Coturnix japonica: one gene and its partners. Each later gene encodes a partner of the first gene's protein in a complex. Links are inferred from orthologs where the notes say so. Each region holds a gene or a part of one and is shown in the gene's direction. Other genes may lie near its edges. The genes, in order: CIR1, HDAC3, SAP30, NKAP and DNTTIP1.

Region 1 (5,953 bases):
TTAGAGATCATTGAAATTGTCAGCCATGCTAAGACAAGAAAAATGAGATCTATGTCTGTATTATGAGTAGAATCTCCCTGCAAGTTTTCCAGCAAGAGATGCAGTACCATTTTGTTTTCCCACAGATAAAAAGTGCCTTGTATTGGGAAAGCAGGAATGGATTTAAGTGTTCTCTTGAATCTGTATTAACAAAGGAGAGGTATTTAAATATGTTAACTGCGACCATTTGTATAAATGGCCATCTGCAGAAATGCAGCATGTATGAAACTTTCCTTTGCGGTCTGCAGCTGAGACCTTTGATTGTGAGCAGTAGGAGCCCTAACAGAACCTTCACGTAGTTCAAGAACTATCTCGTTTCAGAATAATCCTCCATTTACGCTTCAGAAGCCTCTGTATTTGGTGTGAATGGCATTTGAGTAATAAATATGGATTCCTGTAGCAGTTTGATATCAGATTTAAATGTTTTTTATTTCTTAAAAATTGAAGATTCTCTGAAATGGCCTGTGACAAAAGCACGGCAATGTGTTACATTCACTTAAACTGCAGACGCTCTGAAGAAAAGCTAATTAAAAGCCAGAGGTTTTGTATTCATTGGTTTCTCTCAATGCCAACTGCAGCAGTTGCTTTGAAGTGTAAATATGGTCTGAATGTAGTCATCCCCGAAAGAGATGGAAAAATTATCAGTGAAAAATGATCAGTTCTGAATTAGTGGAGGCTGCATAAACTTGCTGGGTTCTTCACTACCAGGGTCACGATCATATAATTATGATAATAGCTCTTTGTCCTTTAGATAAATGAGAAGTGTCTACTCTTATCTCTGCCACAACTGCGGTGAAACTTGACAGAAGATATGGCGTGATTAGGCTCAGCCTGTAGTTCTTCCCCATTTTTGTTAAATTTCCTTTTAAGCCACCTGAAAAAGAACCTACAAAACTGCATGGAGAGCACAAAAAGTATGTGGGTATCTTATTGACAAACCTGTCTCATAATTTTGAAGTTAGGTTGTCTTTTAAAAGCAAAACTCAAAAAGCCTTGTGTCTAAATGGTACTCCCTGCCACCGTGCAAAGTCACATTCTGATTTCAGCCTATACTCACCCTTCTTGTGATCATTTGCTAAGGCAACCAGCAGTGTGGTTTTACAACACTTATTTAAGGTGAAAGAGCTGTTTGCAAACTTGCTGGTGTATGCAGGTCTATGGTACTCTGCCTACAGACAGAACAGAACTGGGCATTTTTTGTTTCCTTTATATTCCTGTTTGGAGACTGTAGCATGCAGCTATGCTGTCCTCAGACAGCAGTTATGTACTGGCTAGGGTGATTTTCCCCCGTCACAGGTTGGAATGATGGTTAAAGCGTTACAGCTTCTTACCTCTTTGCTTTTCATATGTATTCTGTAATAAAAATCTAGATAGGAACTTCATTGATTGCAAAGGATAAATGGGTTTGTTTATCTGTACTGGTGACAGTAGGGAAAGCTTTTATCAGGAAGTTGAGCTGACGCTGTCGAGGGTATGTAACACAAGCAGAGAGACTGAAAAGTGCTATCTTGGTGATAGTGGCAATCACAGTATTATGGTCTGTCCTTACTGCCACTGAAACCCTTGTAGAAAAAGTGGTATTTAATCACAGTTGTTATGAAAAAAGGTTTTTAATGCCCTGTTCGCTAATATTGGGTAATTTGAAAAATGTGCTTTAGACATTTTAATGGCGGTCTGCTGGATGGCGTGTTACAGCTAGTATTGTTCTCACAAGGAGGAATCCTTTGCCCATGCTCATTAGAGGAAACATTCTGGCAACAACAAAGCATTACACGCGCTCTTTGCATTTGTGGCTTTGTGAAAAGTACAGACAGAATGGAAAATGACAGTTTTGGCTATAGGTAGCTCTTGTTTCTGGGCTGAGAGCGGGGGTAATAATGTGGGGTAAGAGAGCCTGCTGTAAGCTGGGCGGTCAGTAATTGAAATCCAGAATTATATTGCCCCCTGGTTGTTTAATAGAAGCAGAATTGATTCTGTTAAATTGATCTCAGTAAAGTGCAGTGAGAAATTGGAGAGCTCTTTGTTATAGAAACAAACTGGCAATATGTTGTAGAAGTCTTCGCATGATATCCTTGTGAAATCCAGCATAATGGATGCTCACGTGGGCTTCAGAAAAATTCTACTTACAGCTCTACTGTGTATTTAATTGCATGAATATTATAGAGGTGCACCAATAGCTGTCAAACTAAGGTTGCGCTTGGGTTGTACTTTGTGGAGACTAAAATCCTTCTTTCCACACTTCATTGAGTGGTTTGAGTTTTCAGGTTTAATGTCCCAACCCGGAGGTAACCAAGCCTTAAAACCTACCTTAAATGAAACATAAGAGAGGGTGAAGGTATTAAAAACTCTGAGAAGTAAGAAGCAGGGAGAAATATTTGCTTGAAAACAGTATTTCTTAAGGCTGTGAAAAAGATAAAAACTGTGAAAAATGAAAAGGTAAATTCAAGAAAATAAGCTTGGCAGATTGAGGAATTGCTACTTAAAAATAGCAAGGTATTCTATTTGATGGAGGCCAAATTAGAAACAACTGAATTCATAAATCGCTTTAATCTTAAGGTCTTGTTTGTTTGTTTGGTGTAACTTGTCCATGTCCACCAGACAGGAGTAACAGTGATGTCAGCTGTCCTTGTTACGTAGTACTGTGTTGTGTCTGAACCATTGCAGTTGGAGCTACAAATGCATCTCCTTGATGCCATTAATAAATATGGGAGCAAGGCTTCTGTACATTTGCTTTAGCCTTGTTTGCGTTCCTTTTAAGCATGTCTGTTATGTGTGTGGCTGTGCTGATCCTGGTGGGAGCAGGCACTCTAGCAGGCCACCTCTTTGCTTGTGCTGGTCAATGCTTTACAGCACAACTGCAATCAGCAGGGCAGAAATACACCAAAACCAGTAACGTTGTGCTTTCGTGATTGGCTTTTGATGTGGAAAAAATGCAAGAGATCCTGAAACATTTCCTAAGTTTTCTCTTCTTCATTCTTCCTTAATGTATCAGCCTGTTTGTTTCTGTGAATAGTGTGCTATACAGGAAAAGAGAAAATGCCTGTTCAGGGAATGATGTGATATATTGATAATCATAGCGTTCAGTTAAAGCCAAAGAGCCAGGTGTGGGGTATGTAAGTTACAGCAAGGCCAGTGTGGTTCAGACAAAGCTGCTGTGCCTAATCCCAAGCACCTACAGTAATGTGAGGCACTGCACGCTTTTGGAGCTGAGAGCTGTGAGTAGACTTAGAGTAACAGTGCAGAGACCCAGCATGTCTGGAGGGCCCTAGAATGAGGAAGGACGTAACTGATTTTTCCATGCATTTATTTTCTATCTGCGTACCATGTTTCTGATGATGGTTACTTTCTATGTTTGAGTTCCAAAATGTGTGAAGAATTATGAAAAGCACCTTATTAGTGGCATAGTAGCAACGTGTTTTCCCCTTGTGTTAGGGGAGAAAGAGGCTCTTAAAAGTCTTGTTTTATGTTTTTTCTTTAGGTTTTCTGTGCTTTTTGTGCTATAGCAGAAATACACTTACCTAAATATATTGTTTTCAACATGACAAAGTTACATAAGAGAATCCCCTTGTACTTAAAGAAAAATGCAATTATTTTCTATTCTGAATCTCCAGACTGCTGTTTTAGAAAATCATATCTGATTATTTGCTCAGCAGAAGATTATTGAGTTGATTTAGCTGTGATTTTACTTAACAAAGCTTCAACTGAATTCCTACTGTGGAGTCCAAAAAAGGTAGAGAGATATAAATGATACATTCAAACTGTGATTTTTGTGAACAGGGCCATCAATGCACCCCTCGGAGCTAATAGCGGAGATGAGAAACAGTGGGTTTGCACTGAAACAAAATGTACTGGGGAGAAACTTGACCGCAAATGATCCATCACAGGTAATGATCTTTTTACCAGTAAGCTGAAAATGTCTATAAATCTAAATGTGATTGCTTGTGAATTGCTACTTAATGTTTTCCAATATGCATATCCATAGGAAAGCTGAATAGCTGCACCAGTGGAAAATCTCCAGAAACTTACTGTGTTTTCCAGCTCTGTTTTAGTCACAACCATGAATCATAAGTTACCTTTTTTTTATTTTAAATCTATCTGTAAAAAATTAAATACCTCCTTTGGGTGGCTAGAAATTAGATTTTTCATAAAGGAGTGGCTGTGGGTTTTGGCACTTAGATGTGGCGCAATGGTGGCCTCCTCATGAATGTTTGCCCAAGTGTTACCAGGGCTGCTATAGCCAAAGATGTTCTTGCTTAACTGAATATTGTTATGTCTGTTATTTCTGAGGGAGAAAATATTTAATTGTCATTACTTAGACTGCATAAGATATATTTAAAATAGAGGCAATTTGATAATAATAATGTAAAGTGAATAATTTGCACACGTTACTCGAGCGAGCTGCTATGTGATAACCTATGGGAGGATAGTCAAGATGCCATGACATCAAGTTTCAACTAGAGACAGACAACAGCCCTCAGCTGGTCTTGAAACACCGCAGTCAATCAGTAATTCCTTCTGTCTTCACAATTGGATGTATGTAGGATGCTCCAAAAGTAATGCTTGCTATTTATTTCCATTGAAACAACAACAAATACGAAGAGCACGGTAACCCTATTTTAAAAAGCAAATTCTCAGCTACAAAACACTGTTTTTCAACATGGTCACCACCATTAGCTGGTTCACACAGATGAACTGATTGAGATGCTCTTCATTTTGTGGTGTGACAGCTGTGCATGGCCATCTGGAACATGACATATCTTTCATGTTGCTGTCATCACTGCTGAAACACACCACCCACCAGCTCACTGTGCTCACATCTGCTGTTTGATCTCCATAAACATTGAGCAAGCATCGGTGAATGTTATAAGATGCAGTTTTTTTATGTATGGAGGGGTTCAGTGACACACCTTTGCTCAATGCACACTTCCATGTTAGGCCCCATTCTGTCAGACTGCCCCTCTGCTGCCATCTGTCACAAGGCAGCAACATATAATGGACTGTTGGTGGGAAGGTTCAGCCTCTACTGCCACACCACCAACATCTGCCTTTGACATCATGGGCCAACATAATAAAATAGGAGGCAGTATTTCTGGAGCAGCCTTTGTAATGTATGGTTAATTGGAGCAAGGTGATACCAGTACTTTAGCCTTACGTTAGGTGAGATATTTCTTGGTTTTGGGTTGGTTTTTTTCCTTCTTCTTTATTTTATTTTATTTTTTGGAAGAGCTTTTTAATCTTTATTTCCCCTCTTAAGTGTGGCTGAAATAAAAACCATTGCGGTGGAGCACTGTAGTGTACCAGATGTACATAATTTGAAGATCTGAGGGTCATAAAGTAGCTATGCTGTGTTGATTGCAATACTGTATGCAGATTGTATGATTACTGTATTTTGCATTGCTAGAACACTGTATGAGCATTTAAGCGCTAATAGCACAACAGTAAGGTAGATATGTTAATACCCATTTTCCTAATGACAAAACTGAGACAGAAAAGTAATTTGCTTAAATTACTCCGGGTTTGAGCAGGACTGGCATCGTACCTATTCATCCAAGCATGACAAAAATGAGGTGACTTATCCTGGGGAATTGTGTGGGCTCCAAAATAGGCTCATTTTTATTAACTGTTTCAGAAATGCTTCTTTCCCTAGCAGTGATTTTTTCATATGTTACTAATAACTTCTGTTGTATAACCCCACGTTACAGCACCTACTCAGCTTGGAGACAGAATGTGGGTGGGTGTTTTTTTCCTTGCAGCAAGTACGTTGCTTTTCCCAAAGAGTCTTCAGTTGACTTGGTAATGCAAGCACACTTGTGCCTGTGCAAAAAGAAGGCATGCACAGATGCATCACTTTTAATACAGTAATCTGAATGGGGAGGTTGCCTTTATCCAGGGACTCAGTGTTGTATTACTTTCT
Region 2 (4,607 bases), on another chromosome or scaffold:
CATGGTTCAGGACCTGAGTAGGAGCCCTGAGCCCCATGTTTGTCACACCAGCCGTGGTGGTGAATGAACACACAGTGAAACTTTGGGCATGTGAATGTGTGCTGCAGGTAGCAGCTCTGATGTGTTTCTTTGGGGTTTCTAGGGAGTGTGTGGAGTACGTAAAGAGTTTCAACATCCCCTTACTGGTGCTGGGAGGAGGCGGTTACACAGTCCGCAATGTGGCACGGTGCTGGTGAGTCTTATGGGCCTGTTGTATATTTGATGAGGCATTTGCTGTGGGCTTTGTCCCTACATGCACCCTGTTGCTTTCTCTGGACTGAGCTCATCTTAATCTGGTTTTTGGTTTTTTTTCAGGACTTACGAAACATCGTTGCTTGTAGATGAAGCAATTAGTGAGGAGCTCCCATATAGTGGTAAGTTCAGGTTCCCTTGTTTTCCTTATTAGTTGAGCTAAAGCAGTTGTATCAGCATAAGACTTAGCACTTCATTCTGTGTTGACCAGGGCCAAAGAGACAACACTTTTTAACCTTACTTAGTCCTGATTCCCTTCCATCTCCCCTTTGTAGGCTTATCTGATGCAGTAAGGATGTGTCTGCTCAGCATTTTGTTTGGATCACTTCAATGACTCGAGCATTACTTCTGCTGACTCTCATTTCATGTAATTTTTTGCAGTTGCAGAGTTGTACATCACTGTGGTTTATAGGGTCTGGTTACCTCTAGCAAGGTGGGAGGGTGAGCTCTGCTTCCCTACAGAGCTCTGCATCTGCTGACTGACTCCTTTGCCCTCCTGCTTTAAATCCTGCTCATGCTTTCACAGAGTACTTTGAATACTTCGCTCCAGATTTCACTCTTCATCCTGACGTCAGTACAAGGATAGAAAATCAGAACTCCAGGCAGGTGAGTGCCTGCATGTCTGGCCCCAGAACCTTGTGGTAGATGCTCTATCCTGCAAAATGAGATGGAGCCCAGGCTAGGAATTGTGGCTGCAGAAAGCTGATAGAGAAAAGCAAATACATTTGCTCTGGCACAACAGAAAGTCTCAAAGGGTCTATAATATTTCTGAACTCTGCTGGATTGTCCTACTTTTTTCTGAGTGCTGGAGCCTCAGTGATTGAATTAACTTTCCCATCTCTTCTGCTCTGCTGAATAGCTTTCTGCACAAAGGCATTTCTCATGGCCACCACACAGATGATGTAGGCAGGCAGTAGAGCTGACTGTTGTGGCTCTGAGTGAAGCATCAGATCTGCTGGTGACGATCCCTCTCTGTGTTTTTCTGTACAGTACTTGGATCAGATCAGGCAGACAATATTTGAGAATCTGAAGATGTTGAACCATGCTCCCAGCGTGCAGATCCATGATGTCCCTTCTGACTTGCTGAGCTACGATCGCACAGATGAACCTGACCCAGAGGAAAGAGGCTCTGAGGAAAACTACAGCAGGTACAGCTCTGATGTTCTGGTGAGATGAGCTTTCCTTTCTGGCCCTGCAGGTTCCTCTCTGTAAATGTAAAACAGTCCATGTGGTGTGTGGGTGCAGGGCATTTTCTGACCTTTTTGTAGGCATTTTTCTCTGTCAGGGCTCTCCTCACTGATATTGTCTTTTTCCAACCCCAGGCCTGAAGCTGCCAACGAGTTTTATGATGGTGACCATGATAATGACAAAGAGAGTGATGTTGAGATCTGAGGAATCTAATGGACTTTGAACTCTGGACCATGGGGGGTTGCCATGTTGGACGCTGGTGTGGTTAACTGGGCTGCATGGGAGCCAGTGAGCCCTCCTTTCATATTCGACTGCATGTGGTGGCAGCAGAAAACAGCACCACCGCAGACTTCTGCTCCCTGCAAGGCAGAGAGCAGTGAAACGTTCCTTACTTTCCACCATGCATCACGGTTCCACCCGTCACCATCTGGGAAATGGAAATTGAAGCAGCACTCGGACCCATGCCATGGACTGGCTGGCAGCCACACAGCTGCCTTCTGAACCCACTCAGTCAGCTTCTTCAGCTCCCGTGCAGGCTCCTGCCAGAAAGGTGGGAGCTGAAGTGTCTGTGCCTAAAACCTCTGCCTCGTCAGCATCACACCTGCCACATCCCACCATCCCCAGCCCCCTGCTCAAGTACCCACTCGTTTGTCCTCTTGAAGCCTGCGCCGAGACTTTGCTTCTTCATATCCTTTCTACCCATCTGCTGCTCCACAGCTCAAGGAAAACCATTCAAGAAGACAAGGCCAGTTCTGGGGTAGGGATCAGGAGCATGGTTGGAGCAGGGTGTAAGAATGTATGCAGTGTAGTCTTGTTCGTTTTCCCTGTCCTCAGCTTTGCACTTGCAAATGGGTAACACAACACTTTGCCAAGTTGGACCTAACTCTGTTTTTTTCCTTTTTAATTCTTTGAAAGGTTAAAATCACTGTGAAACAGCGATTTGGTTGCCAAGATCAGCACGCAGTGTGTCTCACAGCTCTAACGTAGCTTCCAAGCTGTGTTTTCCAAGTTCACAGGTGTGTTTGCTAGAAACTTGGGCTGTTCACTGGGAGCAAAAACCACCCCCCCCCTCCTGACTGTGCCCCAGAGATTTCACTGCTCACGGGTGAGGGAGGCTGCTTCCTATGGGTCCTGTTTTGTCCTCACACAGCAGAGGTTTCCCAGGTTCCAGACTTTGCTGCTCCTTCTCCTGCACTGTCACCTGGTCCTCTCGTGGTTTGGAGGGTGCTGTATGGGGAGAGGGGAGGGGTTCAGCCTCTTACTGTACGTACTGTTCTGTTTGTTTACTGATGTCTTTAAACATTAAATGAAGAGGCAGTATTTTTCTTACCTGATCTGTTTGTCTGTTTAATGCTTGTGCCTTTTTTGACTCCTGTCTTCCTTCAAGTGTACACTGCTGCATATTGTGAGCTGGAGTGCAGTGAGGGGAGCCCTGGGTCCTGGGTTTATGGCTGCTCCTGCTTATACCTCTGGAACAGGGAGAGCTGACCAGATTGCTGCAGAGTCCATGTAAATACCTTGTTTTAAGTGTAGATTCTTTACATTGCACACTCCATGAGAGGCTGCTCCTCCTGTGTTCTTCAGGCACATCCTTGGTCTCCAACAGAGATGGTTATACAGACCAAGCTGGACCAAGGTGAGACCTGCATTTAAACACTGCTCTGCACCTTGTCAGACTCTCACCACCATCACCCTTTTTAGGCTTTTGATGGCACCAGTTCAATAGTCCATAGTGAAGTCTGCTCTCTGCTTGGAGAGTGAGTCAGGTTGGGATGGATGCACTGCACTGTGCTAAGAGCAATGTCCCACATCCACCACAATCCTCCATAGGGCTGCTATTTCCCTACCTCAGTGTTATCTATTCTATCCCCGTTTTTCCTTTCCACTTTGAATGTGGATGCTGAGCTTCCAGGTTGCTCTGTTATATTGAAATAAGTGGGGATCGATAGGGAAGAGGATCTGAACCTTCCCAGACCACTGACCCTTGTGTGTGTTTCTGAAAGCTCTGTGTTTTGTCTCCTTTCCTCTGCTGTCCCGTGCTCTGTGCTCTGGGCTGTAGCCATGGGTGGGCTCCGGTCGGTCTGAGCTGGTGGGGGGCACCCAACTAACAGCAGGGATGGCACTGGGGGCTGTAAGGTCCCCTCCTACCCAACCATTCTGTTATTCTATGATCCTATGATGTACATTGTAAGGGCAGAACGGTAGCTGGTGTCACCTTGAGACCTGCTGCTGCCAGGAGCAGCTCATACCTCATCTTTCAGAGAGCATCAGAGCGCTCTGTCCTACATACACTGTCACACCTTCAGAAATAGACCTGGAAATGTCACCAATGAGTTTCCAGCCCAGTTATCAGGATGGCTGTGGCTGCTCTCCCTGCGCTGCACTGTGTGAGTGCTGCCCAGCCACAGCCACCCTGCACCCCTAAAAGCACATTCCCCATCTGCTGCACCCCCAGCAGGACACAGGGCTGTGATAGAATCCCAGAGCAGTTTGGGTTGGGTGGGTCCTCTATCACTTCCACTCGTTTAAATACCGGTGTTTCAGCAATTCGGGTCACAGTGCAGAGCTGCTGTTGGACGCCAGGTGGCACATGGATCTCTTGGTTTGAATGGAAGCTCTGTGCTCCCTCTGCAGAATGGAGTTTGCAGCCCTAATTCATGCTGATCAGGGTAACTTTCCAACCCTAGGTGTGGATTTTAGGCACCCTGGTAGTGCCAGCACCGTGTACAGCACCTGCAGAGCCTGGCAGAGGGGGTTCCCAGTGCTCTGCCAGCAGGTTGCACTGGAGCAGTTTGCTTACCGGGATGTACTGGTGCCTTTCTCTGGCCCAGCACATCCTCTGCCCTGCTGTGTTGGTGCCTGGGGGCTTCACTTTCAGGAGCTGCTCCAAATAATGCATTCAGGTGCATGCAGTCACTTTCTGCATTAGGTTAGAAGCTAAAATGCTGTGGAAAAAGTTCTTTCCGTATGTATTAGGTATGGAACAGGCTCTGCAGAGTGGATGGGACTCGAGGAGCATTGGGACACCATTCTCAGCCACAGGACTTGGGTGGTGCTGCTGGAGCCAGGGAGTGGACGCAGTGATCCTTCCAACTTAATAGTCCTCCATTTATCTCCTGCTGGGTGTC
Region 3 (6,475 bases), on another chromosome or scaffold:
TTCAGTACCTGAAGGGAACCTACACCCATGAGGGGAGTAAACTCTTCAAAAGGGCTGACAATAGCAGGACACAGGGAAATGGTTTTAAGTTAAAAGAGGGAAGATTTAGGTTGGATGTTAGGGGGAAGTTCTTCACTAGGAGAGTGCTTAAGCACTGGAAGAGGCTGTCCATGGAAGCAGTGGATTCACCGTTCTTGGAGGTATTTAAGGCCAGGTTGGACGGGGCCCTGGGCAACCTGATCTAGTAAAGGTGTATGTTTGGTGGCCCTGCCAGGCAGGGGGGTTGGAACTACATGATCCTTGAGGTCCCTTCCAACCCGGGTCATTCTGTGATTCTGTTACTTGCAACACATTTACAGTGTGCTCGCAATCTATTCAAGGTGATGTGTCCAGTTATCATTCTTCCCTCTCAAATACAAACCAGTCAAAAGTGAACAGGAGTGGGAGTGGGACATACAGCATCTCAAAGCACGTAAGCTGCTCAGCTTCCACCTGTACCTGGTCCTCCTTGGTGCCAGGAAGTTCAGGGCCCATAAGGTGTGAATCTGGGCATTCTTTTCAAGACAAAGTAGCTTTTAGGCATTCCTACCAAAGGAGATGTTCCTTCCCTGTTCCTGAATCATTCACACAGTCCTGCCCTCCATCAGAGCTCCCTCTCTGCTAGGACATGATCATATAACTGAGCAGTAAAGCAGATGTGGGTTTAACATAACTGATTTTCTTTTCCCTGGTCTAGTTGTAACCAGATCCAGTTTGCCACAGAGCTTTAGAAATGCTTTTACAGGCACAAAGAAAGACAGGGCACAGGTGTGAAAGTCAGCAGCTTACAGAAGAAGCAGAACTGTGTTTCTCAGCCCTGCTGCAGCCTTATCATGATCTAACCATGAAACTATGATACTGCTCTATTGAAATTCAGCTTAGGAATTAACATATTGGCGAGCACGGCTGAAATCAGGCTTTTATCTGCTCACGAACTGTATAAAGAGGATCAGGAACATATCTGAGACATAGTAGTCTCTACATTTTAACAGACCACAGCAAACATAACAGACTGTGTATTTTATGCTCAGCATAAGGTCAAAACCATCTGATGAAATGAAACGGATCACAAAAGACACAGTGTAAGCTGGTAGAAATTGCTACTTGTGACCCTGATTTCTGCTGGAAACTTCCTGGAACTCACACTTCTTCCTATATCTTCTTTAGGTAAGGTCTCCTACTGTTGTGTGGCTTTGTTTGTTATTATTAACATCATTATAATCTTTGAAAGGGTCGAATCACAAGGAACTTGAGCAGCGAGTTAAACGTCCCTTTTCTGAGCTGACACAGTGGCAGGGTGTGGAACTGAACCCAGCTGGGCTGTAACAAAGGAGGGTTCGGTATTTTTTCCAGCTCTTAACCCAATTTCTCCCTTTAATCACAAAACGTGCCCTCATGCATAACTGCTGTCTGTCACTGTACGCTCAGCCTAACTCCACTCGCTGGATCCTTCAGTCGCAACTGCTGGGAGCGTAAGCGGGACCTACCCTCGTTCTCTAATGCCAGGTTACGCAACCGGATTAAAAAGCCATCTGCAGCACAAACCCAAACTGCAGCATAATCGCACTCCCTGGCTCAGGCAGTTGTTGGGCTTACACGGGATCTGCGTCTCCTCAAATCGCTCGCTGACCTCCCGGTTACTCTCCTGATTCCACACTCGCACAGTAATGGATACGGCCGCATATTTCCGCGGTTACCTCACGGCGCTCGGGCCCGTTAGCGAATTTAAGGGCTCAAAAAGGAGCGCAAAGCCGCCTTTTTGCGCTCTGAACGCACTCGGACGAAAATAGGTCAGAGGCGGCCCCACAGCGGCTGAGCTATTACAGGCTGTGCGTTAACGCGGCTCTCGTGTAGCTTTCTTAGAGCTCGAAATATCTCAATACAGGCAGCGTTTGATCCGGACACAACGCGGAGCCTCAGAATCCACTTCCCGCCCCCGGTAGCGGCACGGCCGCATTTCAAATCCCAACGGCCGCGCCGACGGGGAGGAGCGAAGGCGGCGTCCTACCAGCCGGCCCGGGCCGACACCGCCACATGCCGGCGGGGGGCGGGCGGAGCCGCGGCACCGAGCTGCAACAAGCTGCGGTGTGTGCGGAGCGGAGCGCCCCGTCCGCCGCGCAGCTCGGGAGCCGTAGTTTCCCGGCCTCGCCGCCCGCAGCGCAGAGCGGCGGGACGAACTGCGTTTCCCGGAGCGCAACGCGGCTCGGCCTTGAGCAGGCGCAGTGCTGAGGGGCGGGGCGGCGGGCAGGTTGCTGTTGTTGCATAGGAAACAGCTGAAGAGTCTCCACATGACAGAGGGGGAAGGAGGAAGCGGGGCGGCCCGTGGGGCGCCGCCAGCGCGCCGGTAGCCGCGGGGCTCGGAGCGAGGGCGCCCGTCGCGCCGCGCGTGTTCCCTCGCGGTCCGGGCTGAGCGCGGCCGTAGAACCCTCCGGGCCCGAGTCCCCTCGCCGGGGGGAAGCGGTGGCGGCGCTCGCGGGGCTTCCCGCCGGCCCGACGCGGGGCATGAACGGTTTCGCCCCCGAGGAGCTGCCCCAACGCGGGGCCGACCCCGCCGTCGCCGCCGCGGGCGCGGTGAGCGGTGCGGGCTCCGGAGCGGAGGTGCCGGCGGGGTCGGCGCCCCCGGGGCTGGCCGTGGGAGCCGCGGGCGCGGCCGGGGCGGGCGGCCCCGGGGCCGGGCAGCTGTGCTGCCTGCGGGAGGAGGGAGAGCGCTGCGGCCGCGCCGCCGGCAACGCCAGCTTCAGCAAGAGGATCCAGAAGAGCATCTCGCAGAAGAAGGTGAAGATCGAGCTGGACAAGAGCGTAAGTCTTACGGCAGCGGGCAGCGGCTCGGGGGCGGCTTTTAAAGTTCTTTTTTGGCGTGTTTTCTTTTGTTTGCGGGTTGTTTTTTTTTTTTGTCTTTGCCGGCGGCGGGGAAGCGCCGTTTCCCAGTCCCTCCTTTCCCGCAGCGCTGCCGCCGCCCCGTCCCGCCTGGAGCCCGGCGCTGTCGGTGCCCCACCCGGCGGCCGTGGGCGCGGGGCTCCGTGTGGGGAGGGCTCGGCGCGGCCGCACGGTGCGGCCCTGTGCAGGAGAGCTGGGGAATGAGGGGAGCGGCCCGCGTGTCGCTTGACCTTGCGGAGGTAAAGCCGTGCGGATGGGGAGGAGGTGGCATTTTGCCTCCCGCGGGATGTTCCGGAGGCTGCCCGCCTTCCGTTCGTGCGTGTTTGTTTGCCGATCCCCGAGTTGCTGCGAGCGGTTGGAGGGAGGGTTGTGTGCGCGCTTGTCCCCGCTGCGCGACGTTCTCTGCCAGTCAACCGGTAGCCGCTTCCCCCCGTCCTCCCGCCGAGTCGGTGGAGGTAACATAACAATGCCTCCGTGCAGCGCTATCAGGCAGAGGGGCTTCCCCACCTCGCTCCGCGTGAGCGAGGCTGCCTAAGGAATGTCTCTGTAGATGCCTCTGTGCTGCCAGGCTGGGAGGAGCTTGCACGGGTTTGATTGAAAGATGCGGTCTTACTCTTGTAGGCGAGACACCTTTATATCTGCGACTTCCACAAAAACTTAATTCAGAGTGTGAGAAATAGAAGGAAGAGAAAAGGCAGTGATGACGATGGTGACTCACCAGTGCAAGACATCGACACTCCAGAGGTAGCCAACGGTTTTTCTAATAGTTACGTTAAGTCTGTTCCTGCTTCAGCCGTGCCTGCTTTTGGGGATGGCTCCTGATGTGCTTGGCTTTTAATATGACAAAAGCAAACTGGATTCCAGGGTGTATTTTCTCTATTAGATGTGCAGAATCTCAGGCAGCTGCTGTTTTGAACTTTCCTTACAGTTTTGGCTCCAGGAGCCTGCTAGAAGTTGTTTTGCTATGAAAATCAGTCTTTGTAAAGGTTGACAGGACACACCGGACTTGGGCTATAACTGCTTCTCTGTCACATCCCTCCAATCCTTTCCTTCCATGTGAAGCACGTTGCAGATGGTGCCTGTAGTTACCACTTAGTGTAGCTGGAAGTTTCTCAGTGAGGGAGCTCACTGGTTTTAGTCCTTCTTGGGGATAGAGATGCTGAGGCAGTTTTGCTGAGGAGGAGCTGAAATAAGAAGGCATTTCTGCTTGCCTTCCTTATTGTAGGCCAGTGAAACACCACCCGTTTTGGAAGTGAACTACTTTCAAACTTTTTTCATAGTATAATGTGAATGCACTTAAAGCTTTCTTCTTCCTACATGTGTGCTGGATTATTTCTGTTACAGTTTGTGTGTTAATCGTTGAGCACAGCCTACCCGGCCTCAACCAAGAGATTTATCCAGTGTTTGTCAGAAGGTGCTTGAGGATTGTGAACTTATCCTTAAGGTCAGCGTCAGCAATGTCAGTGATGAAACTTCATGCAGGAATCTCTGCCTGGAGGCACACGGCTCAAGCCTGAAGGCTTTGACTATAAGAGGATTTTAGGAGATTGGAAGTAGTTTGATGCTGGGCTGTGGTTTTTGTCAGCTAAAAACATTGGATGGCATCTCTGAAAGCTCTCTAAACCTGCTGTTCTTTGTGGCTTTTGGTAGCTGTCTGGCACAGTGGCAACTGCAGCTTTTGCCTGTTTATTTGCTCAGACAGGAATAATAAAGCATGACACAACTGATGGATATCCCTAGAACAGAAGAAAGGAAATGTATTTTCAGTGGTAGTGGTGCAGGGAAGTAGGTAGTTCTGGAGAGTTTCAGCATGCAGTTCCTGTGTGGTGTTGGTGTGCTATAGATGCCCACTGGCCCCTTGATTTTTGAACTGCCATCCAGTTTACTGCTGACCACCTGTAGGGCATTCCCATTTCCAGAAGTAGATGTTAGGAGTGATTTGCAGTGACTTCCACAGTGCTGCTGTCTTGAGTACGAGGGCATGCCATCCTCTTAACACGTAAGGCAGGGTTGTATCAAGTCTGACCGGGTCACCAGGAGTGCACTGGCACTGTTGTTGCCTTAAATATTGCATAGCTGAGGCTGCTGGATGACTTTAAAATAGAAGTTAATGCTTTAACCAGTCTTTAATGCAGGAAGTTTGGAGAACAGTGCCGTAATTGCAACTGACCTAATGGAATTTCTTGTTCAACCTGCTTTCTTAGCTTCCTTTCCTCCTCAGTCTTCTGATTAAACTTTGTTTTACGCTGTCAAGAAGGTGAGAGGGTAAGCTGTTGCTGGGAGAAGCGGCTGTTGATCTGAGTTCATGGGATTAAAAACTGAGAGAGTACTGGGTTGAGGCAGTGTATTTATATCCCGGAGAGGAGCTTGTGCAATGCTGTGAACTGTCAGCTCACACTGAAAAATAGTTTTGGGCAACTATGCCTATGTACATAACTCCTCTGTTGTGCTTATTGTAGCAGGGATATTCTTGGACACCAAGACCAGCTCTTTTTTTTTTCCTCTCCCACCTCAAGCCAAAAACCTTCATGTTCTAGACTTTGTCTTGGTTCTAACTCATGCTGTCTCATGGTGCAGCTATGCTGCTGTAGACTGCAAAAGACTTCATGGCTGAAATTGAAATGCAGAGCCTACCTTTTGAATCAGCATCTTCATAGATGTTATGATGTTATGAGTTTTGTTACTGTGCTTTGTGTCATCATGCTGAAAATGGGGGGGGGGGGGAAGGACAACAATGAAAGAAAAAAACAGAGACGATTATAGTACTGTAAGTTCTAAATATTGTCTGCTGCTAACAGGAGGAAGAGCCGTACTTAGTAACAATAAACTGCTCTGAAACTGCAATGGAATGTTTTTCTTTCTCCTGGAAGGTGTGGAGTAAAGTTTTGTTCTCTGTCAAAACGAGCTCTACTGAGCTGACAGTGTGTGGTTGTGTATGTGCAAGTTTCCAGGATGACGAGGGAGACCTTATCAATTACATTAGGTTGCTTTCTTCCCCCTTTCTCCTTTTCTTTTAGGTTGATTTATATCAGTTACAAGTGAACACACTTCGAAGGTACAAAAGACACTTCAAGCTACAGACCAGACCGGGACTTAACAAAGCACAGCTTGTTGAAGTACGTATGAGTGTTTACTCCATAATAGAAAATGCAATTTGCCATGGCATGCGTTGTGTTGGGTTTTTTTTTTCTCTGCACAATGTGATCCTTGCATGAAGTGCATATATAATCTGGGTTTTATGAGAGCAGAAAGGAGCTGCTTATCTGGCTTCCTTCACTGCCATAGCTCCTGAGCCAAGGAAATCAGAAGGAAGAGCTTCTTTCTAGAGAACGGACCCATAACTTTCAGAAGGAGCATGTGTTGCTTGAAAATAGTGAGCTGAACAGTAAGGTGACCTGTGCATCAGCCACACCTTCCAACTTAAGTATCCTACTGATGATAATTTGAAATTGAGAGGTAGCAGTGGTAGAAGTGCCGCTTGCAACACCAGAGGCCTGGGTTCGAATCCCCCCTGTGGCGTAAGTGGTAGAAGTGCTGCTCTGCTACACAGGAGGCTCGA
Region 4 (6,580 bases), on another chromosome or scaffold:
AGGCAACGCCGCCGGCCCTTCAGCTCCGCGAGCATCCATTCATTCGGCTCCCGCTCCCGCAGCCCATTCCCGTAGGAGGCCGCGGCGCGGCGGCAGCGCGGAGCCGAACCGGCCCGGGCAGCGCCTGACCTCGGCGCCTCAAAGGCCGCACGCAGGCACGAGCGGGAGGTGCCCGCTCCCGGCGCCCCGCACGGCGCAGGACGGGCCGCCGGCTGCCGAGCGCCCGGCCCCGACCCCCCGCGGCACGGCCAGGTGTCCCAGCCGCCGGCCGGCCGGTGTCGTGCCGCGATAACGGCCGGCGGACCCGGGGCGCGGCCTGCCCGGAGCCGACGGGGCCCCGCCGCGCGGCCAGGCCGTACCCGCCGCCGCCGCTTCCCGCTCGAGGCCAGGCGGGCAGGGCGGACGAGGGGGAGCCGCGGCTCGAGGAGCGGAACCGGGGCCCGCGTTACCTGGCACCCGCCGCCCTGCACCGCGCTCACGGGCACCGGCCCCGCCGCAGCCGCCGCTCGTCGGGCTCGGGCGCCGCCCCCTGACCGCGGCCGGCAGGAGGCGCTGCCACGCGCTGCCCGGCCCCGCGGGACGGCGGCACGGCGCTCCGCCCGAGCGCGCTCGGCTGCATTCGGAGCCACGAGCCGAGCGGCTTCGGCTGCCGACGGGAGCGCGTGGGCCGCGGGTGATGCCGCCTCCATCGAGGCCTCGGGCGGCCACGTCCGGCATTGACGCTGCGCTCCCGCTGCCCGGCTCTGCCCACCCCGTACCCTGCATTGGAGCGTGTGCGACAGCCATGTGCGGGCACACACCGGGCAGTCTCCTGGACACAGTGTGTGTGAGTGCTCTGCAGTGTTCTCACAGAGAACCCGAGCTCATGGCACGTTTTATCTGCGGTTCCTGATCTGTTTGATCCTACAGACTTTGCAGGAACTCACAGGAGAACCTACAGCTAAAGACAAGCACTGGTTTGGAAGGAGCAGTGCTCTGGGGTTCCCAAAACCAAGCTGTGAACTGCTTTACCATTCGGCCTTGCAAGGCCTCTTGCAGATCAGCCTCCAAAGTGTTTGGGGATTGAACAAGCATACAAACGTATACAGTGACAAGTTAAATGAAGCATGTTTTTCTAAGATGTGGACGTGTAGAGCACACAACAAGAGGTGGTGTTCAGTGGGTAAGAACACAAAGCAACTGTATTTTGATGCATGGAAATGATCCAAAAGGAGCCGCCTCAGCGCTGGGCACCACGTTGAGCTGGGGCTGCACCCACGATGGCAGAGCCCCGGCTGCACCTCTGGGTGCCTTTAATGGCTGCAGGGACGGGGCCCAGCACCAGCAATGTGGGTTAGCAGCAACCAGCTCTGCCTGTCGGTGTCGTAACCTTGTGTGCCGTGTGGGGATGCAGGGCCGGGTGGAGGGGGCAGGGCTGCGTTCCGGGATCCTCCCGAGATGGGAAGCACGGAACGAGCATTTGAGGCAGTACGGATTCAGCTGGCAGAGTGACAGGCACTGCAGCTTCCACCTGCCTCATCCACATCACCCTGCCCACAGCAGGCGTAAAAAACAGCCGTGTAAATAACAGCCGTGTAAAGAACAGCCGTGTAAATAAGAGCCGTGTAAGTAAGAACCGTGTAAATAAGAGCCGTGTATGTGCCCCGCGCTCCCACAGCCGCAGCATGGCGGCAGCGGGCCCGTGAAACCTGGGGCGGCAGCCGGTGTGCGGGAGCGGGGCCGGGCTGCGCTGACAGCCGCTCTGACAGCGGCGGGGCCGGACCGAGCCGGGATGGCCGCGAGAGCAGCGCGGGCTGATGTGCCGGCCGGCACCGGGCATCGGGCACCGGGGATCGCGGCCCGGCGAGCGCTCCCCCTCGCTCGGTGCTCACCCGGCCCCGCACCGCCGTCCCCCGGCCGCTCCCGGCTGCAGGCCGCTCCCGGTGCGCCGTCCGCCCGCGCCGCCTTACCTGGCCGCGGCTGTGCCCGCGCCTCCATGGTGCCGGGCGGTGACAAAGGAGCGGCCCCGCCGCCGTGTCGCCGTGTTTCCGCACGGCCGGTGGGGCACTGCGCCCCGCGGGCGGGGCTGCCCCGCTTCCGCCCCGCGCCCCGTCGCCGCCGCCTCCCGCCCCCGTCCGAGCAGCGCAGCGCGGCCCGGCGGCCGTCGGAAGTGCCGTCAGGCCGCCCGGAAATGCCGCCGCGCCATCATGGCGCCGGTGTCGCGCTCCCGCAGCCCGGCCGCCGCCAGCCCCGAGCGCCGCGGCCGCCGCTCCCGCTCCCGGTCCCGCTCCCGGTCCCGTAACGGATCGCGGCGCGGCTGCCACCGGCGGAGCCGCAGCTGGTCCCGATCCCGGGAGCGCAGCCCCGGCGGGACTCGAGCCTCCGCGCACCACGGGCACCACCACGGCAAGGCCTGGCCCGAGTACTACGAGAAGGAGAAGGAGGAGATCCTGCGGCAGAGGCCAGTACCAACGCGGGAACGGGGAACGGGCAACGGGCGGGTCTGCGGGCTCTCCCTGCTTGAGGCTGGGAGCCGCCGGCGCTGCACGAGCCTCTGGGTGCCGGGCTGGACTCTGCCCGCTCGGCCTGCGGGCGTGGGTTGGGCTGAGGTTGTTATTGAAGTCCCGTTCTCACGCTGTTATGGGCAGTGGGACATGCCCGCAAGCAGCTGCTCGCTGGGTGCGACGTGTCAGCGTCCAGTAACGGTGTGCTTCATTCCAGGAGACTCAATGAGAGGGAGAGAATCGGAGAGCTGGGAGCACCTGAAGTCTGGGGGCTTTCGCCAAAGGTTCCTGACCCTGAGTAAGGCACAGTTTTGCTTCTCACTCTGTTTTTTATGATATCAATTCTAGAGGAATTTACAATAACGCATGAGTCCTCTGGTGCCACAATTCATTGTGTCAGAAGCATCTGAACCAACATAAGCAAACAGACGTTATTCAGATAATCCCATCACATCAGTTACTCAAGACATGACGCAATTACATGATTTCCCATGGCAGGGGGTTGAAACTGGATGATTGTTATGGTCCTTTTCAACCCAGGGCATTCTATGATACATTCTATACTGTGATAGGTGCCTTTTCTGCTGTGGTTCTGAAAACAGTTGCTGTCTCGCACGCTGGCCATTGCACAGTTTGCTCTGTTGCAAGTAGTGGCTCAAAATCCACAAGCACGTGTTTCAGTGTATGTGTGCATCTGATCTTCAGTTACTAAATACTACAAAATAGATCTTAAAAAGCAAACTTGTTTTTCTTCAGTTCTGATGAGCACACGCCAGTAGAAGACGAAGAGGCAAAATCCAAGAGCAGCTCTTCGGATTCCAGCTCGGAAGGTATTTGGCTTTGTTTATACAGCTCATTTTGATAACCAGTCGCTACCTAGAAACTGCTGTTGTTGCTGTCAGGAAGTTCACTGACTTGGGTTGAAGTGAGTGTGATAGGCCCTGTTGCTTTGGGATGCTCCAGATGTATACACGGAACTAAGTCTTCATCTTTTTCTAATGTTATCTTTTATAAACATTCCAGAGGAAAAAAGGAAGAAGAAGAAGAAGCGAAAGAAGAGAAAACGGAAGGCGTCCAAACGGAAACACAGAAAACATTCTGAGGACAGTGACAGCGAGTCCGAGTCCGACCAGAGCTCCAGTGGTAAGGGAGAACAAATGATGTCCAAGCTGTGTATTGAGATGTTCTGGTGGAGGCATTAACTAATTCACAGTGTATGCTTTTTGATGATGCATAATCTTCCCTTTTTTTTGTTTTTTGTTTTTCAGATGAAGATAAAAAGAAAAGCAAAAGGAAGAAAAGGAAGCACAGGAAGTAAGTTTCCAAGCTGTGAAGTATAATTGCATCTACTTTTAAGCGCAGTCTTAGCAGGAACGGAGGGAAGCTGAGCGCTCCTGTAATTAGAGCTGTAAATGCAGGTGGATAATCATAATTTGACTGGCATCAAATGTACAGAATCCCAGAGCACAGAGAGATCCTTGAAACACAGGGAGCCGCTTTCGAGCGCTGTATGAAAGCCATAACAGTGGATGTGTTGTCTTTGTTTAACTATCGGTTGTTTTCAATCAAACAGCAATGTAAATGCAGACTGTCCTTGGTGGAAGGTATCTTGAGAAACTCATAACTTGAGTATGACTCCTAGCACGTTTTTTTATCTTAAATGCTGGTGGATAACTTGGGTGTTATTGCAGGAAGAAGTACAAGAAAAAGAAAAATAAAAAGAGCCGGAAGGAATCCAGTGATTCCAGCAGTGAAGATTCTGATGATGGAACAGTTCAAGGGGAGGATCTCTGGATTGAGAGATCAAGTAGGTGCCCGTAGATTTGTCTTGAAACTTCTTGGTGTTCTTTTCATGCTTTTTTTTTTTTAAGTGTTTGCTGCCTTGTTGACTGCTCTGATAACAAAGAAGAGGCACAGTATTGATCTGCTTCACTATTTGATCATTGCAGAAAATACAGAAGCTGATAGCTTGATTGGACCAGAAGCTCCCAAAACACATGCGTCTCAAGATGATAGGCCTTTAAAGTGAGTACTCTAAATGGTACCTTGATTGAGTCAAGTAAATCTAGCATAAAGATTTCTGCTCAGAAAGACCTAAAATAATATGATTTATATCAAGAGGGATGCTGTACCAGAAACTAAGAAGTGGTAGTGGTGCTAGTCTTTACTCTGACCTGAGTTTAAGTAGAAAAGTCTGTTTTACGCATTTTAGCCTGGGTTCGTAGAAAATTAATTGGTTTTTACTTCAGTAAAGTGCCTTTACTCTAATGCTCTGCAGAGCTGTGACTTCATACAGCCTTCATTACTGGTTAACCAGAATTTATTAAACTGCTTACTTAAAATGTTCTTGCTGAGATTAGCTGTAAGTATGAAATGGGAACGTACTTGGGAAATAGTAAGGAAGTCCTTAAAATGTAGCTGGTAGTGACTGGGGGAGCTGGATGTTTGGCTCAGGCTCACTCTAGTTGAGACTGATTAAAATCCCTCCTGTTTGTCTCTCTGTTTCTTTAGCTATGGGCACGCCCTGTTGCCGGGTGAAGGTGCAGCAATGGCAGAGTATGTAAAAGCAGGAAAACGCATTCCTCGGAGAGGTGAGATTGGCTTGACCAGTGAAGAAATTGCATCGTTTGAGAGCTCCGGTTACGTGATGAGCGGCAGCAGGTATGTTTCTTATGATGGTAATATTTCAGTAACATTTTCCAAAGCTGCTTCCTTTGTTGGCCTGCTGAAAAGCTGTTCCCAGGCTGTAGCTGAAAGCTCTGAAGAGCACGTGCTCTGTACGCTTTCAGTGGCATATGCTGAACTCTACTGCTATATATAGATGCATAGTTTCTTAAAGTCACTTTTTCCTGAAGAATCAAAATTATTTCCAGATAGTATGCTTCAAATTCTCTTTATTTCAAATTAGATGCTTGTCTCCAATGGCCCTAAGGGTTGTGTGTTTGGACAGCAGAGGCTATGCGCTGGCTCTTTGGTATGAGACAAATTAATGTGAGAGGTTCACCATACCTTCTTCTACCAGTACAAAAGGAGGTTCATTTATATTTTGGCAAGCTATTTTGGGAGCGTGAGGGACTTCCTGCTCACTGCCTGAGAGCAGACACCCTCAGATGTCAGCTCAGCTATGCTCGTTCCTTGGAGGTTTCTTTGCAGTTTGGGTTCCCTGGTTTAGGTGTCTTTGTTTATTAGCCCTTCAAAACCTTCAGGTCACTTAATGGATGGAAGCTGTCACGGGGCGTTACGTCCTTCTGCCCGTGCTTATGTATACAATGTTTTCTTCCACAGACATCGTCGAATGGAAGCTGTGCGTCTGCGTAAAGAGAACCAAATTTACAGCGCAGATGAAAAGAGAGCTCTGGCATCCTTCAACCAGGAGGAGAGGAGAAAAAGAGAGAATAAGATCCTTGCAAGCTTTCGAGAGATGGTCTACAGAAAGACTAAGGGCAAAGAGGAAAAATAATTCCCCATTTGAACTGGAGGCCATAGAGGCTGTCAAGCAGCAGCTGACCCGTTCCAGCCGTGATTTGAAAATACCTGCAAGTGTTGCAGTGCCTTTCACCCAACAGGACCAAGCCCCAAGAACCAATGATATGTATCAAGAAAACAGGATTACATCTATCAGATTATCTCAGATGATTTGCTCACAATCTGCAGGGAATCCCTGTAAACTTAAAGATTGCAGGGAAGGGACAGGCAAGGAAGTTTGGAAGTAGTAAGGTTGTGTGCTCGTTTATAGAGTCGGACAAGCAGCTGGATTCCATGGGAGGGCTCTGGGACGTGCTGCTGATGCTGATAAGTGCTGTTTTGCATTTCTTCTCACTAATGAGAGTAGGTTGGCCATCGCAAGCGAGCTGTGACTGATGGTTGTGAAAATTAAGGAATTCCTAAGTTCCTGTTTATGTATTTTTTTGTAAGTCTTAGATTTTTATTTTTATTTTTTTCCCAAAACAAAGTTGATTTTGTTTTGCGATTCCAAGTACACTTGTAAATAGAAATAAGTTTGTAATTTAATATAGATTACCTTCTGTTACTTTAAAGGAAGCAGACTGCAACTGGGATATAAGATGACAGTAACAGTAGTAGCAGAGTCTGGTCTT
Region 5 (6,396 bases), on another chromosome or scaffold:
GCTGCATCCTCCAGCGCTCGGCGAACGGGGAGCCCCGGCCCCAGCCAACAGCACCAGAAAAAGCAGCGTCAGAAGGAAATAACAGAAAGCAAGAGAAGCTTCTGCAGCTGGAGCGCTCTGAACCGGACTCGCACGACATTTAACGTTTCGCAGAAGCCAAAGGTTAGGAGCCTTAAGCAGGGCTAGAGCTCGCGAGGGTCGCAGCTCTGGCAGAAAGTGCTGGGATATAAAACCAAAGCAGAGCCACCCGCACAGCGCACAGCGCACCTCACCCACCGCGGGGCCGTGCTCACCTGCAGCGGGCGCGGCGTGCAGCGGGACACCGAGGGCCAGCAGCCCCAGCAGGAGCCAAGCACCCCCCCGCATGGTGCCAGCACCCTGCCCGCACGGCGCCCAGACGGGATTTAAGCTACAGCAGAGAGGCGGCCCCGGGCACCTCCCACGTCCTGCGTGCCCCGTGGGACACCCGCAGCAGCAGGGCAGGAGGAGACACCGGAACACCGGGCTGCGGCCAGCCCGATTCTCGGCCCATAAACCCTTAATGGGCACTGGTAACATCAGAGCTCCTCGTTCACCCCCAGGGGCACCTTCCCAGATTGCAGAGCAAGATTTCCCCCCCTCCATTGCCCCGGAGGAGCTCAGCTCCACCTGTGCAGGGTTGAATGTCAATGCTGTAGCTTGTTATGCTTTAAAACCAGCAGGAATAAATGTCTCCTGGCAGACAGAACACGGAGTGCCGCAGCACTGAGTGGAGGAGAGCTGCCCAGGGCAGGTATTACAGCTCAGCTCCATGCTGCCAGCCCCTGCCCTGTGTTTGCATTGAGAGTGAACAAAGAATTCAGTGTGCCACCATGTTTATGTCTCTCCTCTGCACCAGGAGCATCTCTACCACTGTCAGCATGTGCAGGTCACTCTGTGTGAAAGCTCAGAAGGCAAAACTGCTTCAGAAAGCTTCGTCCAAATGGTGGCAAAGGCCACACATGGGCAGCACTGGGGCCATGTGTTCAGCAGTGGGAAGGCGCAGGGCCTGCATGCCACCAAACCTGCGTGGGAAGGAGGCTTACTGCAAGAAATGAGCTCGAAGTACAGGTTTCTTCCACTCCTCGTGGCCATGACTCAGTTCTGGAGCTATTTCCCTTGTGAACCGCCCCTATCCGCTGCAGTCCCTGTGCCCCACATCTCAGCTCGATGGTGTCACCTCTGTGACCATGGTGAGCAGAGCTCCCTCGTGCCACAGTTCCCTGCCACCTACTGTGCTGTCCGGAGCCCTCCAAGCCCCAGCAGGAGGGGCAGCTCAGCACAGTGTCGGTGCTGCCACTCGTGGGTCTCTGCCCAGCACAAGAGCAGACAGCGGTACCCAGCGGTGCGCTCGCAGCAGGTGGCACTGACGTTGTGTTCCGAACACCCCACAGGAGAGGTGTGATACGGTGATGATAACAGTGCAATTATCTCCATTACTCTTTAGCCACAGATTACTATCTGCTTCCTATCTGCCTCGAGAATGACAAAGGCACGGGGTGAATCCAGCCGGTGGCAGTGACTCAGGGCACGGCCTAAGGGGCAGCACAGCACAGTTATGAGCTAATGGGAGCTGCCAGGGCACTGCCGTGCAGCTACAAAGGCAATGCCATCCTGCCCTGCTGCAGCCCCGGCCCCCTTGGGCACAGCACCGTCATTACAGCACCGATACAGCTCCGTGCATCCAAACATCGGTCATAACACAGAGAATTAAGAAGTTAAATGTATTACAGCCATGTCTGCGTACAGCAATGAGCTTTCCGGTAAGCTGAATCCCACAGGTCCCGGCTCCTCACAGCCCCACGGCGGGGCAGCACGGGGCGGGGGATGGCGGCCAGGCGGGGCAGGAAGCGGGCAGGGATCACCGGGCACCGGGCAGGGATCGCCACGCCGGACCCACCCGCCGGAAGCCGCTGCCACTTCCGTCGCGCCACGCGTGTCGCGTTCCGATGACGTATTGAACCCGGTGCTTCCGGAAGCGGCGCCGCGGGCCCGGAGCGCGATGGGCGCCGCCCGTGACGCCGAGCAGCAGCCGGGGCCTCCGGGAGAGGAGGGACCGGGAGGAGGCGAGGAGCAGCCGGGAGGAACGGTGAGGGGGGAGGGAGGAGGAGGAGGTGGAGAGGGAGGACGGGAGGGAGGCGGGCTCGGGGCTGACGGTTGTGTCCCGCAGAGCCCGTGGAACATCATGATCAAGCATCGGCAGGTGCAGCGGCGCGGCCGGCGGTCACAGATGACAACCAGGTACCGGAGGGACCGGACAGCGGGGAGGGATGAACCGGAGCGGGGCTGGGATGGGCCTAAAGGGAGGGAATGGGGGCACCGGGATAGTGCCTGCACCGGGACTGACTCCATGTGCTCACACAGCTTCACCGACCCGATCGTGTCCATGGACCTGCTGCGAGCCGTGCTGCAGCCCAGCATTAACGAGGAGATCCGGGCTGTGTTCAATAAGTACATGAAGGTGAGTGGACAGGGAGCAGCCACGGCATCTCAGAGGACCCAGCCCTGCACACTGTGTGAGGGCAGCTGGGTGCTGCACCCTGGATGGAGTTTACGTGGCTGCTGACATCATGCTGCTCCTCCCCCAGTTCTTCCAGAAGGCAGCACTCAACGTGCGAGACAACGTTGGGGAGGACGTGGATCCAGAGCAGCTGATCCAGGAGACGTGTCGGAGCTGCCTGGAGCAGGTGGGTACAAACACACGTGAGACTATTTCTGGGATGGGACCTGGGGGCAGATAGACCCAAATCTTTAGTCTGTAGTGGCCAGATGTCAATAAAGAGTTTGGTCTTTAGATGTGGCCTTTATGTTTCACATGGTCTGGGGCTTTCCCATCAGCACAGGTGCCTTTGAAGATGGATCTTCTCATCACAGGGTGAAGCAGGGGTTGTTGCTGGTAGTCCCCCTTTCCACCCAGAATAGGTGACCTTCCTTCTCTTTCTACAGGCCAAGCTGCTGTTCTCAGATGGCAAAAAAGTTGTGTCCAGGTTGCCCCACGAGCAGATGGGACCAAAGGTAAAAGTTGTTGTTCATGGAGGATTAAATGATTTGTAAGAGCTGGGAGGAATAGAATGACGGGGTTGGAATTATCTACTAGCTGTGCAAGTGAGGAGGTGGAGCTGGGAAATGTTTGTCTTGTGGGGAAAGTAACTTACAGACCAGTGCAGACCCCAGGTGCAGCATCTGAGTGCTTTGCACTGCTATGGGCTGCCTGCAGAGTTTGTCTGTGCCCTTGTGCTCTCTGCCTTAAGTCAGCAAATGAGAGCTGCAGGCTGTGTGCTTGGGGCCCTGCCTGGCTGGGATGGGAGAAGGGTTTGTCTCCATCCTCCCACCATTCCTCTTCCAGCGTGCCCGACAGATGGATGAGGAATTGAATCGTCGAGGAAGCCCCCTTCCCAAAAAGGTAGGAGGGTTTTCCACATGAGGGATTTTATGTTTTGGGAGATCTGTTCCTTGCTCCTGTTACCACAGTATGAGCATGTGCAAGTATGAATGGTTTTTGTGAAGGCTCAGAGGTGCTTGTTCTCATGCTGTTGTTGTGCTTGTGGTAGAAAGAGCTGCTTCTGTAGGATGGAACAGATAATCAAAAGGGTCCTTTCTATGTGCACAGTTGAATGACTGAAGGATTTCTTCCATGCAGAGAAAGGGACGGCCTCCAGGACAGAGCCTGTCAAACGATCGTGGGGTCTCAGGCATGTCTGCGTGAGTATGGGCCTCAAGCTGCTGCCCGTGCTTTGGGGGGGCAGCGGGAAACAAAACTGCCTGAAGTAAGGGGCACCAAAACCTGCAGTGTCCTTCCCCCTGCACAAAAGAGAGGTGTAGGGGGGGATGGCAAAGGGCAAGAGAGTTTTGGCTGAGGTTGAGTCACAGGAGGCAAAGCCTTCCAGGGAACTGTTTTAAACAGGGCCAAAGGATGTGCAGAACCAGGTGGATGATTCAGTGAGCTGTGTGTGACACAGCTGCTAACAGGGAACACAGCAGAGATGGGGCTTCAGAGAAGGTGTGAGAGGGTGGATCTGGAAAGGCTCAAACTCAGATTCCTGCCGCTGGGAGCTTGTGGTGTCTGTCTGCATTGATCTTTCTAGGACCTGTTCTTATTTCACTTTCCTTCCCTTCAGGTGGAAGCTCAAAGTCTCTGAACCTGTGAGAAGGGATGGACCAAAGGTATTGGCTGGCTGATGCTGCTGGGCTCACCCTCTCCTCCCTTCGCTTCCGCTAGCAGAGCCCTGCCTGCAGCGGCAGCACAGAACAGACCTAGGTTGTGCCCTACTCTGCTGAGTCTCTACAGTGCCTGGAAGCCTTTGCTTGCTTCCTCCAGGCACTGTAGCTCTGTGGTGTGGTGCAGCTGTTAGGAGACATGGGGAGAGCCTTAGTGGTAGCCAGGAGGATCCCACAAAGCGTTTCCTACAAGGGAAACAGCTTAGATCAGCCCAAGGTGGTGCAGTTTCCTTCCTCTGTGGCAATCCAGAGGTTTGTGGCTACCTCCCTCCCTCCCAAATCAGTTCTTAGGTTCCCCGTCAGAGAGCTGAGGCTCGTGGAGCATTGGCTGGCACCAGCTTCATTTCTAATGTTGCCCCTTTTCCAATTGCTCTGTAGTGGGATCCATCCCGACTGACTGAAACCACAACCTTTGTGCTGGGATCTCGAGCAAACAAGTAAGGAATGGCCCTGTTGATGGAGGGTGGTGTCTCCCAGGCAGGAGCCCGTAAGACTCCTCCCGTCACTTCACTTCTCTGCCTCGAAAGCAGTAGGAAGGGCTGGGGCCTGGGGAGGAGAGGAGGTGCCCCGTGCTGCTGCAGGGCCCCTCTGTCCCAGTGTAACACCCCCTTGTGTTCCTTTTTCAGAGCTCTCGGGATGGGAGGAACAAGAGGGCGACTCTACATCAAGCATCCCCACCTCTTTAAGGTCAGATACCACAGCAGGATGCCTCCTCCTTTGGGGTTTGTTCAGAAGCAGTTTGTGATGGGAACTGGGTGTGTGCGCTTTGACTCGCTTGGCTTTTCCTCCCCACGCCCCATTTGTTGTCTTAGAGCACGTACACACAACCTGGCCAGCACACTGAAACACGTTAATGGTAGCACAGCCTCTCAGGTGCTGGTTTTGCCCAGAGTCAGGGTTTTATTTGAGAGCAGAGCAGGCAGGGCTAAGCCCTCCCTCTGGGAGCCCCCAGCACCGTGCTGTGGGGGTGAGGTGCTGGCAGCAGAGCACTGGAACGGGCTGTGCCCCGCAGGAGGGTGGTCCAGGTGGGAGGTCTGCGTCCCGTGTTCAGCCAGGTCCTTGCTGCTTTATTGCAGTACGCAGCCGACCCGCAGGATAAGCAATGGCTGGCAGAGCAGCAGCACCTGAGGGCCACTGGGGGCAAGATGGTGAGTACGGCCGGGCTCGTGCCCACGACAGCCCAAGAACTGTGCGGAAACCTGCTCAGGATGGACAGGGGCGGAGGAGCAGAGAGGCCAGGCAGCGTGTGGGGCAGGGCCACGAGGAGGACAGGCAGAGCAGGGCTGGGCCGAGAGGTGTTTGCTGCTCCTGGGGTTGGGCAGGAACGAGAGGCAGCACTGCAGGGACAGGGGGCAGAGCTGCCCCGTGGGCACCGCGGGCCCCAGCAGAAGCACAGCGCGTGTCTCGCCCTGCTGCAGGCCTATCTCCTGCTGGAGGAGGACATCCGCGACTTGGCGGCCACTGACGACTACAGGTGAGACCCCGGGCTGTGCACACGGGGGGGTCACCTGGATGGCTCCCTATACCGGGGACCCCATAGAGGCCCGGCCTGCCCCCGGGACCCCTCGGCCCGCACTCAGCCCATTCTCCCTTAGGGACTGTGTGGACCTGCGGCTGGAGGAGCTGAAGCCCTTCGTCCCGCCTGCCTGGATGACGGAGAAGATGCAGAAGTACATGGAGACGCTTCGCAACGGGGGGGACCCGCCGCCGCCGCCCCCCGAGATCCACCCCGAGGCCTTTCCTGAGGGTCCGCCCGTTGGACACCCCGAACACCCCGAGCCCTCACACCCGGCCCCGGCCCCGCAATAAAAGCCGCCGCTTCGCACCCGTTTCCACGCCTGGTGGGGATTTGGGGCGCGGCCCCTTTAAGGGCTCACGCTCCGGGGTGGGAGGGGGAGCAGGGATCTTCTGCGCATGCGCCGTCCCGCCTCTTCCGGGTCCACCCGCCGTTCTTTTAGCGGCCGCATTCTGGGCGGTGTCCGATTGGTTGGTGGGAGCGGAAGTGCGCGCTGATTGGTGGAGGAGGAGCGAGTTTGAAACATTCAAAACGGAGTGCGGGAGCGAGGCGGAACGGCGGGCGGACACAGCGGGAGCGGGACAGGAGCGGACCGAGACCGAACCGGACCGAGAGCAGAGGGACCCCACGAGCGGCCCGGAACC

The links.
Region 2: CIR1 (region 1) and HDAC3 share a complex: the UniProt entries of both Homo sapiens proteins name them as parts of the notch corepressor complex. The link is inferred for Coturnix japonica from reciprocal best matches to the Homo sapiens genes CIRSR and HDAC3.
Region 3: CIR1 (region 1) and SAP30 share a complex: the UniProt entries of both Homo sapiens proteins name them as parts of the histone deacetylase complex. The link is inferred for Coturnix japonica from reciprocal best matches to the Homo sapiens genes CIRSR and SAP30.
Region 4: CIR1 (region 1) and NKAP share a complex: the UniProt entries of both Homo sapiens proteins name them as parts of the notch corepressor complex. The link is inferred for Coturnix japonica from reciprocal best matches to the Homo sapiens genes CIRSR and NKAP.
Region 5: CIR1 (region 1) and DNTTIP1 share a complex: the UniProt entries of both Homo sapiens proteins name them as parts of the histone deacetylase complex. The link is inferred for Coturnix japonica from reciprocal best matches to the Homo sapiens genes CIRSR and DNTTIP1.

What each region holds. Positions count from the first base shown.
Region 1 is NC_029522.1:15,082,475-15,088,427, forward strand, and holds part of CIR1 (corepressor interacting with RBPJ 1), read left to right. Parts: intron 1-3,816; coding exon 3,817-3,923; intron 3,924-5,953. UniProt on the Homo sapiens protein: May modulate splice site selection during alternative splicing of pre-mRNAs. Regulates transcription and acts as corepressor for RBPJ. Recruits RBPJ to the Sin3-histone deacetylase complex (HDAC). Required for RBPJ-mediated repression of transcription.
Region 2 is NC_029528.1:14,745,481-14,750,087, forward strand, and holds the end of HDAC3 (histone deacetylase 3), read left to right. Parts: intron 1-142; coding exon 143-232; intron 233-354; coding exon 355-413; intron 414-817; coding exon 818-897; intron 898-1,281; coding exon 1,282-1,439; intron 1,440-1,613; coding exon 1,614-1,683; 3' UTR 1,684-2,813; downstream 2,814-4,607. UniProt on the Homo sapiens protein: Histone deacetylase that catalyzes the deacetylation of lysine residues on the N-terminal part of the core histones (H2A, H2B, H3 and H4), and some other non-histone substrates.
Region 3 is NC_029519.1:38,528,553-38,535,027, forward strand, and holds the start of SAP30 (histone deacetylase complex subunit SAP30), read left to right. Parts: upstream 1-2,215; 5' UTR 2,216-2,541; coding exon 2,542-2,838; intron 2,839-3,537; coding exon 3,538-3,660; intron 3,661-5,933; coding exon 5,934-6,032; intron 6,033-6,475. UniProt on the Homo sapiens protein: Involved in the functional recruitment of the Sin3-histone deacetylase complex (HDAC) to a specific subset of N-CoR corepressor complexes. Capable of transcription repression by N-CoR.
Region 4 is NC_029519.1:15,370,587-15,377,166, forward strand, and holds the start of NKAP (NF-kappa-B-activating protein), read left to right. Parts: upstream 1-2,171; 5' UTR 2,172-2,186; coding exon 2,187-2,440; intron 2,441-2,700; coding exon 2,701-2,781; intron 2,782-3,239; coding exon 3,240-3,313; intron 3,314-3,506; coding exon 3,507-3,626; intron 3,627-3,751; coding exon 3,752-3,797; intron 3,798-4,174; coding exon 4,175-4,290; intron 4,291-4,432; coding exon 4,433-4,508; intron 4,509-4,994; coding exon 4,995-5,144; intron 5,145-5,768; coding exon 5,769-5,943; 3' UTR 5,944-6,580. Other genes in the region: ZBTB33 (transcriptional regulator Kaiso), read right to left, coding at 1,950-1,977. UniProt on the Homo sapiens protein: Acts as a transcriptional repressor. Plays a role as a transcriptional corepressor of the Notch-mediated signaling required for T-cell development. Also involved in the TNF and IL-1 induced NF-kappa-B activation.
Region 5 is NC_029535.1:9,477,140-9,483,535, forward strand, and holds DNTTIP1 (deoxynucleotidyltransferase terminal-interacting protein 1), read left to right. Parts: upstream 1-1,957; 5' UTR 1,958-2,020; coding exon 2,021-2,107; intron 2,108-2,188; coding exon 2,189-2,259; intron 2,260-2,382; coding exon 2,383-2,479; intron 2,480-2,606; coding exon 2,607-2,705; intron 2,706-2,964; coding exon 2,965-3,033; intron 3,034-3,364; coding exon 3,365-3,421; intron 3,422-3,658; coding exon 3,659-3,720; intron 3,721-4,136; coding exon 4,137-4,182; intron 4,183-4,614; coding exon 4,615-4,673; intron 4,674-4,862; coding exon 4,863-4,923; intron 4,924-5,312; coding exon 5,313-5,384; intron 5,385-5,654; coding exon 5,655-5,710; intron 5,711-5,831; coding exon 5,832-6,045; 3' UTR 6,046-6,067; downstream 6,068-6,396. Other genes in the region: aspartate and glycine-rich protein-like, read right to left, coding at 294-366. UniProt on the Homo sapiens protein: Increases DNTT terminal deoxynucleotidyltransferase activity (in vitro). Also acts as a transcriptional regulator, binding to the consensus sequence 5'-GNTGCATG-3' following an AT-tract.